Drosophila melanogaster: one gene and its partners. Changing the gene in region 3 together with the main gene of any one other region gives a genetic interaction. Each region holds a gene or a part of one and is shown on either strand. Other genes may lie near its edges.

What was found. A genetic interaction does not mean that the proteins touch.
Region 1: of dock (region 3) and ckn, changing one enhances a phenotype caused by changing the other (phenotypic enhancement), as found in Drosophila melanogaster (one study listed by BioGRID).
Region 2: of dock (region 3) and Pak, changing one suppresses a phenotype caused by changing the other (phenotypic suppression), as found in Drosophila melanogaster (2 studies listed by BioGRID).

The regions. Positions count from the first base shown.
Region 1 is NT_033778.4:14,961,607-14,966,317, forward strand, and holds the start of ckn (caskin), read left to right. Parts: upstream 1-1,685; 5' UTR 1,686-2,319; intron 2,320-4,077; exon of another isoform or gene 4,078-4,393; intron 4,394-4,711.
Region 2 is NT_033777.3:6,349,258-6,353,921, reverse strand, and holds the start of Pak (p21-activated kinase), read right to left. Parts: upstream 3,027-4,664; 5' UTR 2,571-3,026; intron 800-2,570; exon of another isoform or gene 383-799; intron 1-382. Other genes in the region: Hr83 (hormone receptor 83), read right to left, coding at 3,410-3,621, 4,055-4,664.
Region 3 is NT_033779.5:824,438-832,005, reverse strand, and holds the start of dock (dreadlocks), read right to left. Parts: upstream 6,038-7,568; 5' UTR 5,499-6,037; intron 2,702-5,498; exon of another isoform or gene 2,550-2,701; 5' UTR 2,471-2,549; coding exon 2,035-2,470; intron 1,862-2,034; coding exon 1,657-1,861; intron 1,269-1,656; coding exon 923-1,268; intron 830-922; coding exon 380-829; intron 293-379; coding exon 83-292; 3' UTR 1-82. Other genes in the region: CG3862 (uncharacterized protein), read left to right, coding at 6,209-7,568. UniProt on the Drosophila melanogaster protein: Adapter protein that links cell surface receptor tyrosine phosphorylation to downstream signaling pathways and effectors, many of which are involved in regulation of the actin cytoskeleton.

The DNA of each region.
Region 1 (4,711 bases), on a different chromosome or scaffold from region 3:
GCACAGCTCCTCGTATGAGATATTCTTGTTGATGGTGGTAATGATAATCTGGCCATTGTAGGCGGTCTTTACCGTTATACTATTGGGCGTATTGGCCATGTTCATACTGGCGCTATTCAAGCTGACGCTGCTGCCGTCGTTCAGAATTTGCGAGGGCATTTTCTGCATTTGCTAGCTGGGTAAAATATTTTGATATCACGTAACACACAGAGACAAACAGATTGATAACAGAAAACTGCAAAAATAAGAGTAAATAGATACGAGTTAAAAACGAAGCGGTTTACAGTAAAATAAATTAAAAAGACATTTTACAATTACAAATTAAGCTAAAAGTAAGTTTTATTTTCTAGTTTAAATAAAAAAATATATTTTAATAAACTATTAGTGGCGAAATATATTTATATTTATACATTGACTGAACTTTTTTAAGGATTTGTTATTTTGTAGAAGCTTAACTGTAAAGTGTCGTAGCATTATCTTCAGAATCTGATAGATAAACGAACTTATGAATTTCTATTGCTCTCTCTGTTATCGTTTTCTCTTTGCCCACGAATTTGAAATCCCGCCCAAAACCAAATGTCAACTTTGACATTTGAGGCACACACACACATACGCAGACGCCAAACGAACTGCATGCCACAGGTAGTTGTTGTTGCTTGCGCTGCACCAAATGCGTAGACGTTGATAAAACGAATAAGACAAAACAAACGCGAGTGAATCATGCAAAACGCCCACAAAACAATAAAAGAAGAAAAGTAAGTGGAATTAGCACGCCAAAGCGAGTGTGCAAATTAGTTTATTTTTACTCCTCGCCTCTCCTTCTTTCACCGCTTACTTGGCATCTCAGTACTTAAGTATTTGAGCGTAATTAATGCCGTACATTGACCAAGGTAACTGTTAAAAGTACCCAGTTGGCCGCAACAACAATAGTGCAACAAATGAGCGAGAAAGAGAGAGAGTGGAGGCAGGGCATCGAGAGCGAGCAGGAGAGTCGCCAACCTGTTTTAACTCATTAGCATTTTTCAATTAAGACGCCGCTTTTTTAACATTAACACTTTTAATAAGCTTAAGCTTAGTAATCGACTCACACTGGTTCCTTTAGTTTATTTAACCACAAAAAGTATGCACAAAACGCCGCACAAATATAACACAGGGGACAAATCAAACAGCACGAAACATTTAAATTAAAGCCAATCAGTGCGCCACATACATTTTAATTAAGACACTGGCACTCGCACTCGTTTAATTAATTGTTATGGCTAAAACGAATTAAAACTAACATTGCTATTTCTCCGTTTATTTCGTTGTGGAAGGAGAGCACAAAGCGGAGAACGCGAAGTGACAGCACAGAAAATACCGACAAGGGAGTGCTGCAAGTGCCTCAATAATAACATGTTTACCAACACTGCTAGGGGTCGTTTTTAAATAATTGGTATTTTTGAGCTTCCACACCGGTTTCAGGGGTGGAAAACAATTATGACCGGTGATAAATGAAAAAGTTGTACGTACAACACTATTTAAAGCAAAAATACAAAAGACATTATTTTTTGATGATTATAACATCAACTTCAAAACACAAACTGAGCAGATGACCCAAAAATACTAAAACATCGATACGTCAATACTTTGTGTGCAATCGATGTTTTATTAATGAGGTATTTTCCAACAGCCACGCTGCGATCACACTAAGTTTTGTTTTCGTTTTTCCGCTGTTCGGACGTTTGTAGCGGAAACCCGTTCTTTTGTCGTTAGATTCAAAAACGAAATATATCACAAGTACGGATATCACAACAAAGTAAAGTGATTATAATTACAAAGTAAGAAAGCAGTGCTTAATATATCTGAGAAAATAAAAAAAATAAATAAAACTCAACAAATTGCCACAAAAGAAAATGGCGGCTCAGCAAATAAAAAAGAGCACTCGCGACCACAACAACTGAGCAAGAAATTCAGCTTAAAAGAAACCAACAAAAAAAAAAGCGTCAACATTTTCGTCTGCCTGAAATTAATCTGGTTTTTATGTTTTACTCGCGCGTCGTAGACATAAAATAAAGACAACAAACAGTGAGTTTTGGTGCGAGTGGATGTGTCTGCGTGCGTTTGATGCCGTTTGTTAGTCTCTTGTTTTTGTGGAAAAAACCATAAAAAACGTGAAATTCATTAAGCTACAAAAGCAACAATTACGAGCGTTTTACATTGTTTACATTTTGTGTGCCAGCTTTCGTTACGCTTGTGATTTATGTGATTTGTCGAACGGTAAGAGGAGGAGCGGAGAGAACTTAGCCAAAAGCCTGGAAAATAGTAATATTATCTGCTAACGTAAGTTTATAATATGTACACTTAATTACGTTTACACTTAAATGGGTCTTGGTGTTTTTGGTACATTTCGGACAGGCGGCAACTCTTTTTTGTGTTTTTATTTTGATGCGGCCTTCGTCCTGCGCTGCCTGCGTCGACGTCGGCGTCGCCATCTGTCACTTATGAGGGTTGCCAGCTGTTTCGATGCGCCTTGTATTCAATGCGGCATCTTTAGCATCTGCAGGAAATTGGGTTTTCAACAAAAAAATAGAGGAAACAAAAGACAATCAGGAGGAGGGGTACTCACGACTGCAGCTGCCGCTGTTTAGGCTTATGTAATTAATAAACGAACACGTGTCTGGCATTGCGAACGACACGTGACAACTCTGGTCGTGAGTAGTGGGAGTGTAATAAAACTTAAAGTCTTGTTCTTTATTGTTTTCCTTTTTTTTTATTAATTCTCCGTTTGCATAATTGTCCCTTGCCATAATTAAAATCGAGACCAGCGCTCTACGTAAATTTTTTCTGCTCTTTGGCTGTTATAGCTCAGATTGCGCCATAAAACTCATATAAATCAATAGAAAGCGCAGCAGTACACACTTACACACACACAGCCGGAAAAACCATAACTCACTTGCCATAATAAAACGAGTGAGAGCGAGATAGCTGGAGATGTAGAGAGAGTCCGCGCTCAATATGCAGAGATTTGTGTGGGAATCAAATGACTTGATGTCGTTGTCTCCAATGAAGTGTTAGAATAACGGTTGGGGAGGGGAGTCGGGCGGCAATGGCTCCACCAAGAGATTAGAGGCAGAGAAAGAGAGCGAGAGCATGCAGCTGCGCGGTTCTCAAATAGAGTTACCGCCGATGGAGCCTCGCTCGCTCTTGCGCTCTCTCCCCAAGTGGCTCCATCTCTCTATTTCTCTTATTGCCTTGTGCGGCATGAAAAGTGGTTGTGCTTGGTTCATTCGCTTGTGTGTGTGTGTGTGTGTGTGTGTGCGTGCCTCGGTTTGTTTGTCTTTTGCGTGGCATTCAACGCACAGTGGGACAGATAAGGAGATTATCAATTGCTGTCCCCACTCCCTCTCATTAATCTTCTCGCTGCAATGGAAAAGTAAACCAAGTTGAACGATCTATTAATATCTTACAACTTGAAGTTATATATAGGAACATTGAACGTATAAATAGGGCTCTATCTTTTTGAAGCCCAACTTAATATGTTCAATCTTTATATAGTATCTAATATTTACATATGTATATAGTATCTTACAGTTTGGGTACTTTAGGGCTTTAGCAGAACTTCGGTGAACTTCTTGTAGCCGCCTTCAGTAAGCGGTTCCACTGTGCCAAGTGCATTTCCATCGTTGCCAATGGCAACCACTTTAGGGAATAATGCTTGTGCCTGCTTATTGAAGCTACGCTTTGTTTTCCCATTTCTCTTTCACTACCGCCTTTCCCTCGGTCCCCCTTTTCATTCATTTATTAACTAACTAATTTGCCAGGCCCGAAACAAATTGCCCAGCGGAATTGTTATTGTTTCAATTGCAACAAATTGGCCGCTGAGAAAAATGGTTTTCTCTCCTTGCAAGAGAATGATAGAAAGGAAGGGGAGGGGAAGGGGAGGACAAGTACAAGTACAAGTTGCGCATTCGCTCTCCTTTGGAGCTCGCTCAGCTGGCTCGCTCTCTCTGTCTCTCTCACTTACAACTTCGAGGACTCCGGACTCCAATCGGATTTTACGGACCTGGCTTTAATGCTCGAATGCTGGAGCCGCGATTCAATACGCTTTGGCTTGCGGTCGTCGGCGCTTCTCTTTTTTCGGGCTCCTCTCGCTCGGGGTCTGCGATTCTCCAATTCTCAACACACAGCTACTTTTCTGCTCGGTATATGTCCGCGCGCGCGTGTGTGTGTGTATGTGTGTGAGTTTGAGTGCGTGCATGTGTGTGTTGGTGTTAACGTAAAAAGAAATTTTTGCACAGCATTTATCGTATGAAAAATCAATTGGTATCTTGGTGAAAACCGCAGTTAATGTGAATTTTAAGTGTCATCATTGGATTCGCATAGAAATCTCGAAGGAATTCATCATTTTAACATGGTAATTTGCATATTTTTTGCACAGTTGTTCTGCAAAATCGTACGCATGTGTGCGTGTGACTACGTTTCGTGGTGTGTGTGTGCGTAGTAGTAAGCCGCATACGATTTTTCGCCGAAAATTGTAGGCGGTGGGCGGGGCAAAAGGCAAGTGCCTTAAAAAAGTCTCAAAACGTTCAATTTAGCTGTAAAACGCTGAGCACTACCCTTCATTATTAATGACTACACCGAAAAAAAGTAGTTTAAGCCATATAAATTGGTAAATGGTTCTAGTATTATATATGCCAGTTACTCTCAAAATTCATACCCACGCTTATATTAA
Region 2 (4,664 bases), on a different chromosome or scaffold from region 3:
ACATTTCAATTCAGCAATTATTGCGCATCTATGTGAGGAACTTAAAATATTATCCTATTTAAGTTAAGTGTGCATTGATCATAATTGTATACCCACATCTATTCACTTTTAGTTCATTTATTTTAAATATTCATTGGAGCACCTATAGAGCATATGGAGTTAAAAAATATGACCCAAAATGGAATAATCATTAAAGGACTATATTTTAATTTCAGTTTCCATTAGACGCAAACCACTGTTCTCACACAACACACTTTAAGGGTATCCTCTCTACCTCAGTTGCTCCGCTCTCGCCCACGTAAACGATCGAGAGCCATAAAAAATTCGTTGCGATAACAAGAGTGGCTTCGATTGCACTCATAATAAAAACAAAGCAGCTCACGCATTGGGAATTACAGCAACACAAATGAGGAAATTAAGCAGCGAGGACAGCAACAACATAAACACACTCGAGTGGGCGGCATCGCAGCCAAACATATGAGCGAGAGGGCGAAAAGGAGTGGGAGCGCAGAGTGGCGAGGAGAGCAAGGCGGCTTTGGCGCCTGTCTGCTTTGCCGGCGACGTCGACTGCGCTGCTTTTATGATTCATTTATCATCGTCAGGCGTCAAGAGTCAATGCAGCTAACGGGAGGCGGAGAGTCTGGGACGAGGGGGTGGCGAAGTGTGAAAACGTTGGACAAACATTAACATACAGTTCCAACAGCTGTGGTCAACTTAATAGCATAGCGGGGATCTAATAAGATATCAACTCCAACTTTTGAATCATCAGAAAAAAGGGTTCTTAGTGACCAATATATGTACATATATGTGTACATAAGTATATAAGAGAATCATAGGATAAAATACCCAAATCATTATGTGTCATGCGGTTCATTCCGACATTACCTTTCTACCCCAATTTATCAAGTGCAATGTTTTCTTGCTAATTGTTTTTAAATTCACCGATGTAAGTAGATTGTTTACTCAATAGATACGCTCGTTGATTTCAATTACATATGTATGTATGTCGATACATACTGAATTTAAGATAAAAAGTAAAGGAGTATCGACAAATAGAAAGTAGTAAACTTGCTGTGTGATATATTCTTGACCGCAACTGTATATCTGTACTATAGGCTTTATGGGCATACGTTGGTTTACTGGCTGCTTGCCCAGAGATCTATAAACGTATATATGTATGTACATATAATATGCATGCAAACATACACACATAGGTGAAAATTCGTTTTTAAATCAAGCAAGAACAAACTTTTCGGGAGCGTGTGGGCGCCCAGAACTGGGTTAACGATGTACCGCATTGTGTTTGATTTCATTGACGGTCGAACTTTAGGTAAAATCGATAAAAAATGTTTTTCTTTCTGCAGGGGCCCATGCAAAATTATTCCCTAATGAGAAAAACACACATTGTAGGCACAGGAAACTCGACAACACTTGCGGCATTTAAATTAGCGACAGGGGTTGTCAAACGCAGGGGAGCGGAAGGGAGGAGGGTAGGACATTCAAAGTGACGCAGGCCTAGGTGCATGTTGCAACAACAGCGACGCAAACGTGGCGCTCGCTCCAAGAGCTGAAAGAAGCCACAAACATATGCATACTTCTTCGCCACGTTTACGCGGAGCCAAAGTTTGTGATCAAGCTTCTTGATTACTTTGACGACTGCTTTATGTTAACTTTCTATTAAAACTAAACTTAAGAATTTATTCATGGAATTCATTTTACGCAATTTTTCCGAGGATTGCTGTATAAATATGAAGCCAAAACATGACGAAGATCACCTTCTGCTGTCCGAAGACTTTAAGTAAGTTATCTTAGTATCAATATACAAAATGTAAGCATTAAAAATGATACGATGATTATGGTCGGTGCATATTTAGCGAGTTGCCACGCATAACTGCTGGCGACGGAGACTCTCAGCCGCTCCGACGTTGTCTATTTTGGTTGCGGACGCCAGCCGAAAGCAGCAGGCGGAAATGTTATGCCTTTTATATTCCTCTTTTCAGTTCCCTACCGCGACCGCTTCCGCGCGTCCCTGTCCCTTCCGCTTTTACCTGTGACCGTGCTAAGCAAATATGTTTTTCGTTGAACGAAGGAAGGGGGTGGTGCACTGGCGCACTGGACATGTGCCGTTAGAGCGGTAACTGTTAAATGCCAAATCGACTGCGAAATGTTGTTAGTTATTAGAGCTTTATGTAAATGTCTTGTATCGTGTCACGTGTGTTAATAGCGGGGGAAGGGGCATTGGGGCATTCCAGCTTGTTGACATTTGGTTGCTTTATTTTTGGGCTGGAAATTCGGGAGCAGCAATGTGCTAATCCAAAATAATGTGGCGTGGAAACCACTTGAAACGTTTTCCTTTAATCCACATACACGCACACACACACACGTGAGTTGGAAAAATCAATGTGTGCAACCTCTCCTTAGGCGGTGTGTGTGTGCTTGTCTGTGCATTGGAAGCCAGACCAATTGGACTAACGGTGCACTCTCTTTTTATGAATGAAACTCCCTCGCCCCGCTCTCCACAAGACCATTCTACCCGCTCCACTCGGCCACCACTCTCCACTTGAACTCACTGCAAGTACAATATGCCTTGGCTGCCTTTCTTTTGCACGGTGCACCCTGTACGCCGCTTGCAGTCGAAGAAGAAACGCTTGCGATTCACGGATTCGCGTGGACACCACTTCTCCACTGGCTTCTTGGAGTTTTCCGAGCCCACAACACTTGGCCGCACTCGCACACACTCCAAACCGCACACACACTGTATTGTTTTCCAGTTTTCTCTGGTGTGTGTCATAAATGGCCGACGGACGAGAGGCACCAGCAGCAGTTAAAGCGCAGCAATCTTATGGCGCTCCGCAAACTTTCTCGCTTTCTAGCTTCTTTAGCAACGCGCGCGCATTTTCGGTCCTTGCATCACCCACTAATTGGTTTACATTATTCAGGGGTTTGTTAACTACGAAAAATAATTACAGAAAGACGACAAGACGGCCGCAGCAGACAATGTAGCGATGGCAAAAATATATCAATATATCGATAGCGAACAGAAACGAATATATTCGCTCCGTGACTTTTCACAACATATCGATGAGTTTTTTGTATTGTGATTGGCGACCTTTGAAAAAGTGTTTTTCAAAAAATACCACATCAAATTTTGAGTTCATAATAATCTCTTTGTTCCAAATATTTTTATTTCCAACAAATTGCATAGTGCCAATAAAGTTTGGGGCGTGTCTAAATGCCTCCATGAACGATTGTTGACAGAAATGAATGCATTTTTAGATATGGGTTGAAACTTCAGATAGCGAAGTTACTTTAGATGTTTGAACTGGCGAACAGAAAAACAGCCATTATCTAGTACCCTCTTTAAGACTAGGTTTTTCTTTAATTTTGAAAGATGAAGATAGATATGAGCCTAAAGTGTTTTTAAGATGTCCCTGACCACGCTGCGAAACATACAAGAAAGCGCGCAGTCGAAGCGCCTCAGGCACAGCTGCCTCAGACCAAGGAGCAGTTGTCCGAACCGCAGGTAGTTGGATTGCTGCAGGGTGTAGCGGGCTAAGGAGATCAGGGCGGCTTTAGAGTGGCTTCCCAGGATAACGGCATACTCCGCATTGATGGCCAATTCTGTAAAAACATGCAATCGATATAAGCAATTAAAAGTATTAAAATGGGATATACTAATGGTGGTTTGACTTCCTATTAAACTCTTAATTAAATTAAAACGATGTAAAAGGTCTTAAATCTGTCTCTAATCTTGAATCTAATCAAATTTTATGGTTGGTTCAAACAAACCAACTGCACATGCTGGAAAATTTTCTTTTGAATTTATTAAGCCCAAAACGGAAACGTTTTTTCTGGGGTTAAGAAAACTGCTTGGGTGTACTCTTTCATGCAGAATCAAATAGCAAAATCTATACATAGCGTACATAGGATTTAAATTTTCGTCTAAGAAATCACGTCAATATGTGTAAAAACATTGAAAATTGGTTAGATGGCTTCAAACCGCTTTTATTTTTAAATCCTAACAAGCCTTTTTACCGCACAGGCGGAGCTTTACCTTTTCTGCACAGGATTAGGGACTCCATAAAGTTGAGTTCCAGGACGTCGGCCCTTAGCTGGTGGGCCTCGCAAATGAGCCGTTTGAGCTGCTCATCGCCGCAGCCGTCGATCATGGCGCTGATGTCCAGAGACCAGTGGGACGCTCGCAGGACGAAGATCTCGCTCCACACCACCTGAAAGATGGCGTCTTGTTGGCAGCGATCCAACAGAGCGAACTGCTCGTTGGCCTTCGCCTGGCGCAGGCACGTGACAAGGATCTGGGCGAGGATCTGGAAGTGCAGCGCCTGGGAGTGGGGCGTCGGGGATGGCGCCGCCTGAGATGGCGGAGCTTGTCTCCGGCCAGTGCGGTAGAGAGCCACCTGCTGGTTGCGCGGACCGCGCTCCTCCTGAACCGCAGCAGCGTTCATTCCCACGGCCAGGCATCGCTGGAAGCGGCAGGAGGGACACCAGTTCCGCCGCGCCTTGTCCACCACACAGTTCCCGACCAGAGCGATGCAGGCGTAGCTGCTCCCGCGCCGCACGCTCCGCTTGAAAAAGCAGGAGCACCCATCGCAGCAGGACACGCCGTAGTGCTTCCCGGAGCTCTGATCGCCGCACACTGCGCAGGC
Region 3 (7,568 bases):
TATATCTTTGTGTTGCATATGTGTGTTGTTGAATACGGGTAATATGAATGCTGAGATTTCTCTGCTCCAGTCCTGGACCTGCTTACGTGCCATTGGCCTTCGGCAGCGATCGCACCAGATACAGCTTTTCGCCCTGCTTATTCGTGTAGATGGGCGCTCTTTGGTAGTGATCGACCAGTTGGTCCAGCGAGTGGAACTTCCTCTGCCCAATGCAGTACATGTTCTGCTCCACGTGCACGCGGAAGTGCTTGTTGCGCCCTGGGGCCTTTAACGAAACCGAATAGTCTCCCATCTGCAAGAAAGGATGAATTCGTTTATACACTCTCAAAGAATTCGGGCGGAACTATGTTATGGCACTTCAATTGCGAATTCCACTTACGTTAGTCTCACTGTCTCTGATGAGGAAGTCGCCATCGTGCCCGTGGCCGTTGAGCACCGTGTCGCACTGGCTGCGGGTGATGGCTCCATAATACCACGACTTGCCCGCCAGATTTGGCCGCTCGATTGGCTGGCCGGAAGATTGCGCCGCCGGCTTATTACCCTCATTGCGCCGCTCCATGGAGTCGTTTCCTCCGCCACCACCTGCGCCGCCATTACTTCCTCCTCCATTTCCGTTTCCTGCACTGGCACTCGCATTACGATAGGGCGTGGCCAGGTAGTCGTTCAACTCTTGGAGATAATTGCGTGGAACTAAACCGACTTGGCCCTGATTGTTGCGAGCTTTGTACCAGTCCGGATCGGAGGCGGGCCGATCCACGATCTCCAAGCGATCGCCCTTCTCGAACGAGAGCTCCTGGTCGTTGTTTGACGTGAAGCTGTACAGCGCGACCTATATATTTGAAAATAGTTGTTATTAGCCAATAATGACAACCTCTCATAGATGATGTGAATGTTTATTTTGAGAACACGTCCAGTTACTCACCACAATATCAAGCACGTTCTCGGCCATTGCGTAGGTGTGGATCTCGCCGTCGTTATCACAATCCTCCGTTGTGTAGTTGCTGGGGAACCAGCCGACGGAATTGCCGCTCTGTCCACGCCACCATCCATCGTTGGACTTCTCCAGGATGAGGATTCGTGTGCCCTTGGTCAGCGAAAGTTCATCGGGCTGCTGGGCCTGATAGTTATACTTGACCACAGCCGTTCCGATGGCCTCTGCGGGATCTGGGGGAAGTCGGCGCGACATGGTTGGACTCTCGACCTGTCGCGAAGGCGAACAATTAGGCAGTGTCTTCGATCCGGAGCCCTTTTTCACCTTCTTCTTAATGCTGCACAGAAATCGTAAATCAAAATATTCACGATCAGTATTGGGATGAAGTTTTATGGTTAGATTTCATTGGCGGTTTAAAGTGGGTTAGACTAGCCCTAGTTGGTTTGGGTGTTAGTGGATCTTTAGTTTTTAGGGGCAAGTGGGGCTCGACAGACAACGAAATCAAAACGAATTTGTTGTTTTGAAATACAAAATACAAAAGCCGAAAGCAGTTATAAGTTAAATTACGATAGCCAAAGCAAAAGGTGGAGGCGGGTATTTGAACGCGATAGAGATACAGATACATCTACGGATACGGATACAGATACAGGTATAGAGGGCTTAATTCTGCTGAAATCAGAGCAAGAAGAACGCTTAGGTTTAGTCGGGCCAGGAATCTGACGCACCTGTCGAAGAGCGAGGGCTTCTCCTTCTTCACATAGTTGCTTGGCACGTAGCCGGACTGGTTGCGACTGTTCTGGACGCGCCACCAGTGCTTGGAGTCGTCCAGCAGCAGGTAGCGCTCGTTCTTGCGCAGATCCAGCTCCTGGGCACCCTGCGCCGCATAGTCGTACTTGGCTACCACGTAGCAGACGTCGTCCTGAGATTTGCCTGCGGAGTGATTAACAGGAACAGGTTAGAAGAGTACCAAGTGCACACACAGTTAGAAAAGCAAAATGGGCCAGTATGATAGAACCACAAATTCATTAGCATACAAATCCTAGATCCTTTTACTACACCCAATGCTCTTCTCGCTGTGAGGTTATTGTGTTGCAGTTGCTCACCGTGCTTCATGTTGCCCGCCATTGATTGGGTTCCAGCGTTGCCGGCGGCACTGCCACTGGAGGAGTTGCCGCTACCGCTTCCGTTGGCGCTTCCGCTGCCGTTGCCGCCGCAGTCGAGCGCTGGCTGGCCGAAGGTCACACTTTTGTGCTGGGCGCTGCAGGAGGAGGCGGTGGACAGGGTGCGGTGGTGGTGCAACTGCTGTTGCTGGGAGAGCGAAGAGTGCCGCTGGTGATGGGCAGGTGAGCCGGGAACGGGCACGGGCACCTGGGGACGGTACTGGTAGATCTGATTCTGGTTCAGGTTCTGATTCTGGTTGAGATTCAGATTCTGGTGCTGCGGCAGCTGTGGCGGATGCTGCTGCTGCTGCGGATACTGCTGCGAACTGGCTGAGGAGTCGGGGATGTTGCGCACAAACCGCTGGGGGTGTTCCAACATTCCAGACTGGCTGCTCCTCCGCCGCGGGGGGATTCCTGCTCCTCCAGCTGGGACTGCCCTGATGCTCCTGGTGATGCTCCTGGAGGCAAGAGGCGGTGGCTCAGTGTTGGTGGACTTGGAGTTGGGGTTGGAGTTGATGAACAACAAGTCTTTGATGGTTTGGTTATGTGTTGCAGTTGCTCGCTGGCACTCTAAGCTTGCTGCAAATCGCCTCTAGCCAATGCATAATTGCTGTGGGCGTGGTTTCAGGGGGCGAATGGGCGTGAGCGTGGGCGGAAGCGTAGGCGTGGCAAAGTAAACATAAGCAACGCAATAACATAAGCAACGAACGAAGAAAGAAAGAAAAAGAGAGCAAATGATATATGCAAATTAGGCTTAATTGTTTCGCACTGAAGAAGCTAAAGAGCGTAAAAATGATTAGCTTAAAAAATACAATGCAAGTACTCAAACTCGAAATACCAAATAGGAAATCAACTCAAAATTAGCCGAGAGATGAATGTTTGTTTTTGGGGTCAGCGAGCCGGCGATGAAGATGAATGAGTGAAGTGTTTGTGTTGTGATGATCATGATGATGATAATATGAGCGGGAGATGGATATGGGGGCTGAGGGATCTGGCCATTCCAGTTGTGGGGCAATTAAAATCTGTGCAAGTGAAAGTTGCCTCCGACTGACTCCACTCAATTGAATCCAATTGCCAGGCGAGCGAATAAGTGGCCATCGGGTATTGATTTGTTCAACGGGGCAGCCTCACCGAGGCTGGAGAACCAGAGACTCAAAATCCGGGCCATTTCAGGCCAAGAAAGACACAGAAATCAACTGAGACATTCGACCGCAATGAGTCACGAACGTGAATGGTCGGGGGTATTGGGAAATTGGTTTCTTAACCGAGATTTACCGAGTGACATAAGGCAGTTAGCGGGCGGCACAGAAGGTTATTTCGGCCAGAGATCTCTAGAGAGGCTTCCCGAGTTCGTTGGCCAGGTTGGCGAGCCAACAAAATCAAAGTCAATGTCATAGCCGAGGGCCATCTTTGGATAATTAAAAATCAATAAGTGTGGGCCACGTTGAGAAAACGCTCTACTCGGTCTTTGACTCTAGGCCAATCTTGGTTTCGCTTTTCAATGACTGTTAGGTCATACACGAGAGGCTGAGTCAGCTGAAAGTGTTTTCGAGAGCTCTAATGCCATTCAATTCTGGCATTTCGGTGCAATATCTATTAGCAACTGACCCATACGTATATAATAAGAAATGCAGGCAATGCATAAATTTGTTTTGCCGGTAAACTTCTAATCGTGCTTCCTGTTCGAATTTTGGCCATAATAATCTCCATGTGATAACGAGTGTTTTTGTTTACTTTACCATCGATTAGTCAAAGGTTTTTGCGTTAGCTAGAGATACGGAGAAGTACCTGTTTAACCGAAGCATTGGTCGCAAAGTGATTCACTGTTGTGCGAATTGTCTGTGTGTTTTCCCTATTTTTTGAGAGGAGAAAGCGGGAGTGAAACCGTAACCGAACCCAGATAGAAACGGAGAAAGAACCCGAAAAAGATTATATTTATGCAAATGCTGGAGTGATAAGGGGGCGGTTCAGTTCGGTTCGCTTGGGGACTTGGTAAACATGAAACGCCTGGCTGGCTGGCTGGCTGCCAATGAACTGAAATGCACCACCGTTGGATTCGGATCGGTGTTTGGATTTCTTTGGCTTGGTGATTGTTTTGTTATTGTTTGCGCTTGCATAAGCCCAACAGCCGAGACATTGACATTACACTGCTGATAAAATCCGAAGAAATCGGAAGGAACTTGCTGATAAGTTCGTTAGCGCGGAGAAATTGTCAAAAAATATATTATGAACTATGATTTGATAAGATTCCCTACTGCTACTGCAATAAATGAATATATATTTTTAAAGAATTCTTTGTGGTATGATTTCTTAGCTTCCCGTATGACAAACATTTATGTTTTTTTCCGGTGCACTCGTTCATTGTTTTCCTGACAGCAGTTCGTCTTTTCGCTGAGAGAAAGAAAGAGTTGCACGTGCTTGGGGGACAAGCCCACAAGTTTATGAGGCGGAAAGTTTGTTTCCCCGTGCTGTGTCTGTGTATTGGTTGAAGATCGGTTCCAGACGAGGGAGTATAGTCATTGGTCCCCAAGAAAAGCCATCACGAACGAATTGGTGGCCCCGAAACGGGAGCATTTGGGTCTATAACATTGAGTTACGACTTCGGTGGATGGATGGGGCAGCCATGGAGGAACTGAAAGTGGGGCACTCTTATCTGGATCTCGGGGCGTGGGAGGCAAAGGGCAGCCTGTTTACATAAGATCACTCATTCAGGGAGCTGGGAGTCCACTCCCGCCCGGGTTGATTAAGTAGATGCTTTTGCTGGGGAATGGGATTCGAATGGGGTTTCGGTTTCGGTTTTGTTTTTTGTATTTTGTATTTTTTTTTTGGCTTTTGTTGCCGAGGGAGTTTGCGACATTTGCCGGCCGTTTCGTTTAGAGATGCTGCGCAAAATCTCTGCGAGGTGGTGGCTTTTTGGCAGCGAGAGGGTGGACTTCTCGTCCTGCAAAGGATGGCAGGACTCGTTCCCAGTGTTGTTAAGAGTACAAGCTTTTGTACCTGGCACAGGCTTTTGAAAAACACAAGTACCTACTATAGTAGTATTTGAGCAATGAACATATTATAGATTTATGGTAAGTGAAGCATCTTCACGATTTATCTGTTTCATCTATCTAGACAAGGGAAAGGGTACATATGTACACACATATATATCGGTGGCACAGTTTGCCGTAAACACGACCATGGTTACCCAAAAAAAGGTGATGGAAAGCGGAGGGCTAAGGGTTGCAGCACCGCCCACTGGGCGGGTGGTGGACCGAGCCAAAGGACTACGCACCACCAGGTGACGAGGGCGAGATAAAGAGAGAGAGCGCAGGTCAAGAGAGAGAGAGAGAGAGCCGAGAGAGAGAGCCGTGAGAGATTCGAACAGGAGCTAAAAAGGAGCAGCCGAATATTTTGTGTGTACCTACCGGAGACGAAGCGGTTGGACTGGCAACTCCTATATTCCTCCTGGATCTCCTTATCCTGGCACTCCTTATCCGTATCCGTATCCTTATCCGGAAAGTCGGAGTCCGTATTTCTCGGTCTTAACCCTTGGCAATCCTCAGGATTTGGGAGTGGAAGACATGGGATAAGACACTGCTCCTGGAACTCCTGGAACGCACTCTATATCACTTCCACTTTCCACTGGGCTATTGCACTTTACACACACTTAAAACACAACTTTAATTATAATACACCTAGGCGTGAGTGTGTGTGTGTGAGTGGGGCGGGGGTGAGCCTGTGTGTGTGTACATATGCTGCTGCCGCGATTGAAAAACACACAAATCCTGACAAATAAACGCTTTTCCACGCTTCTGATTACCGCACACGTTAACTGCGTTAAGTGGCAAATTGTTTGCACAATTTTGCAGCGCTCTCTTGCGGTTAACTAATTAAATTTTAATGATTTTGCCGGAGCCGTTTCTTTCACGTCGCCCATCCGATTTCGATGTGCGGAAGGCGATAGCGATTGACCACGACCAGGGCTGTCAGGTGGCGTATCAGCGGTTTTTCTTAGCGAACTATCGATAAGCACGTTGCGCGCTGTGCAGCACTTGTCCGGTCATCGGGTCTATCGATATCGGGTGGCGTTTTTGTTATGATTTTGGATTACATGGTTGGTTTAACCCGAAATACCATGCTGAAAACTCGGGGTATTGTGCTTGGCATCAGCAGGTCGTACACCGCCAAGGCGAAGAGGGGTGTGCTGGCGCAGGACAAGTCGAAGATCAAGGAGTACTCACCGAAGACGACGGACAGCCATGAGCACCGAGTTTACGTGTGGGGCTTTCAGGAAACCGGCGCTCTCGGTCTCCAGACCAACGTGAAGAAGGCCAAGGAACGCTACACGGAGATGGTGCACCATCCCACCCGCTTGCAGTTCTCCAACAACAACGAAATCACGGATGTGGCCGCCGGCTACGGGTTCACGGTCTACGCCGTGAATAGAGATGACGGAGAGACGCTCTTTGGCAGCGGTTTGAACACCGACTCCCAACTGGGTTTCCAGGTGAAGGGAAATCCCAATGATCCGGCCAACCTTGACGTGATCATTTATCCTACAGCCATTAAACTGCCGAGAGTTCAGGGAGAAACAGACGAGGACATGCGTGTGAAGAGCATGTCGGCGGGTAGAGCTCACCTGGTGGTTCTGACCCAAAACGGAACCATTTTCACCCTGGGAAACAATTCGTACGGCCAATGTGGCCGCTCCATCATAGAGGAGGAGCGGTACAGCAAGAGTGCCCTGATCCACAGGATATCGCAGGAAGATATATGCGGCAAGGAGGATGAGGTGGTCCAGGTGGAGTGCGGCCAGGACCACAGCATGTTTCTTACCAAAAAGGGACGCATTTACACATGTGGCTGGGGTGCGGATGGTCAAACAGGTCAGGGAAACTACCACACCGCCGGGCAGATAACCCTGATTGGAGGAGATGTGGAAAAGGAGAAGATTGTGCGGCTCAGCTGCTCCTCGGACTGCGTTTTGGCCCTTAACGAGGCGGGCGATGCCTTTGGCTGGGGCAATTCTGAGTACGGACAGCTAGATGACTCAGAGCTGGCCGAAACCCAAATAAATATCCCTAGAGCTCTCAAACTAACGAAGTCCATCGGGAAAATCAAGGATGTGGCTGCGGGAGGCTCATTTTGCATGGCCCTCAACGACCAGGGTCTGGTGTACACCTGGGGCTTTGGCATCCTCGGCTTCGGACCCTTCGTGGAGCAAACATCCAAGCCGCAGCATCTGTTGCCGCCTTTATTCGGACGAAATGACTTCAGCAACGAAACCACAGTGGTTTCCATCGGATGCGGAGTGTTTCACATGGGCGCCGTCAACTCGGACGGAGATCTCTTCATGTGGGGCAAGAACAGGTTCGGGCATCTGGGGCTGGGACACAAGAAGGACCAGTTCTTTCCCTTTAAGGCGGCCATCAACGGAAAGGTCACCAAAGTGGCCTACGGAGTGGATCACACCATTGCCTTGTGCAAGCCGTTCT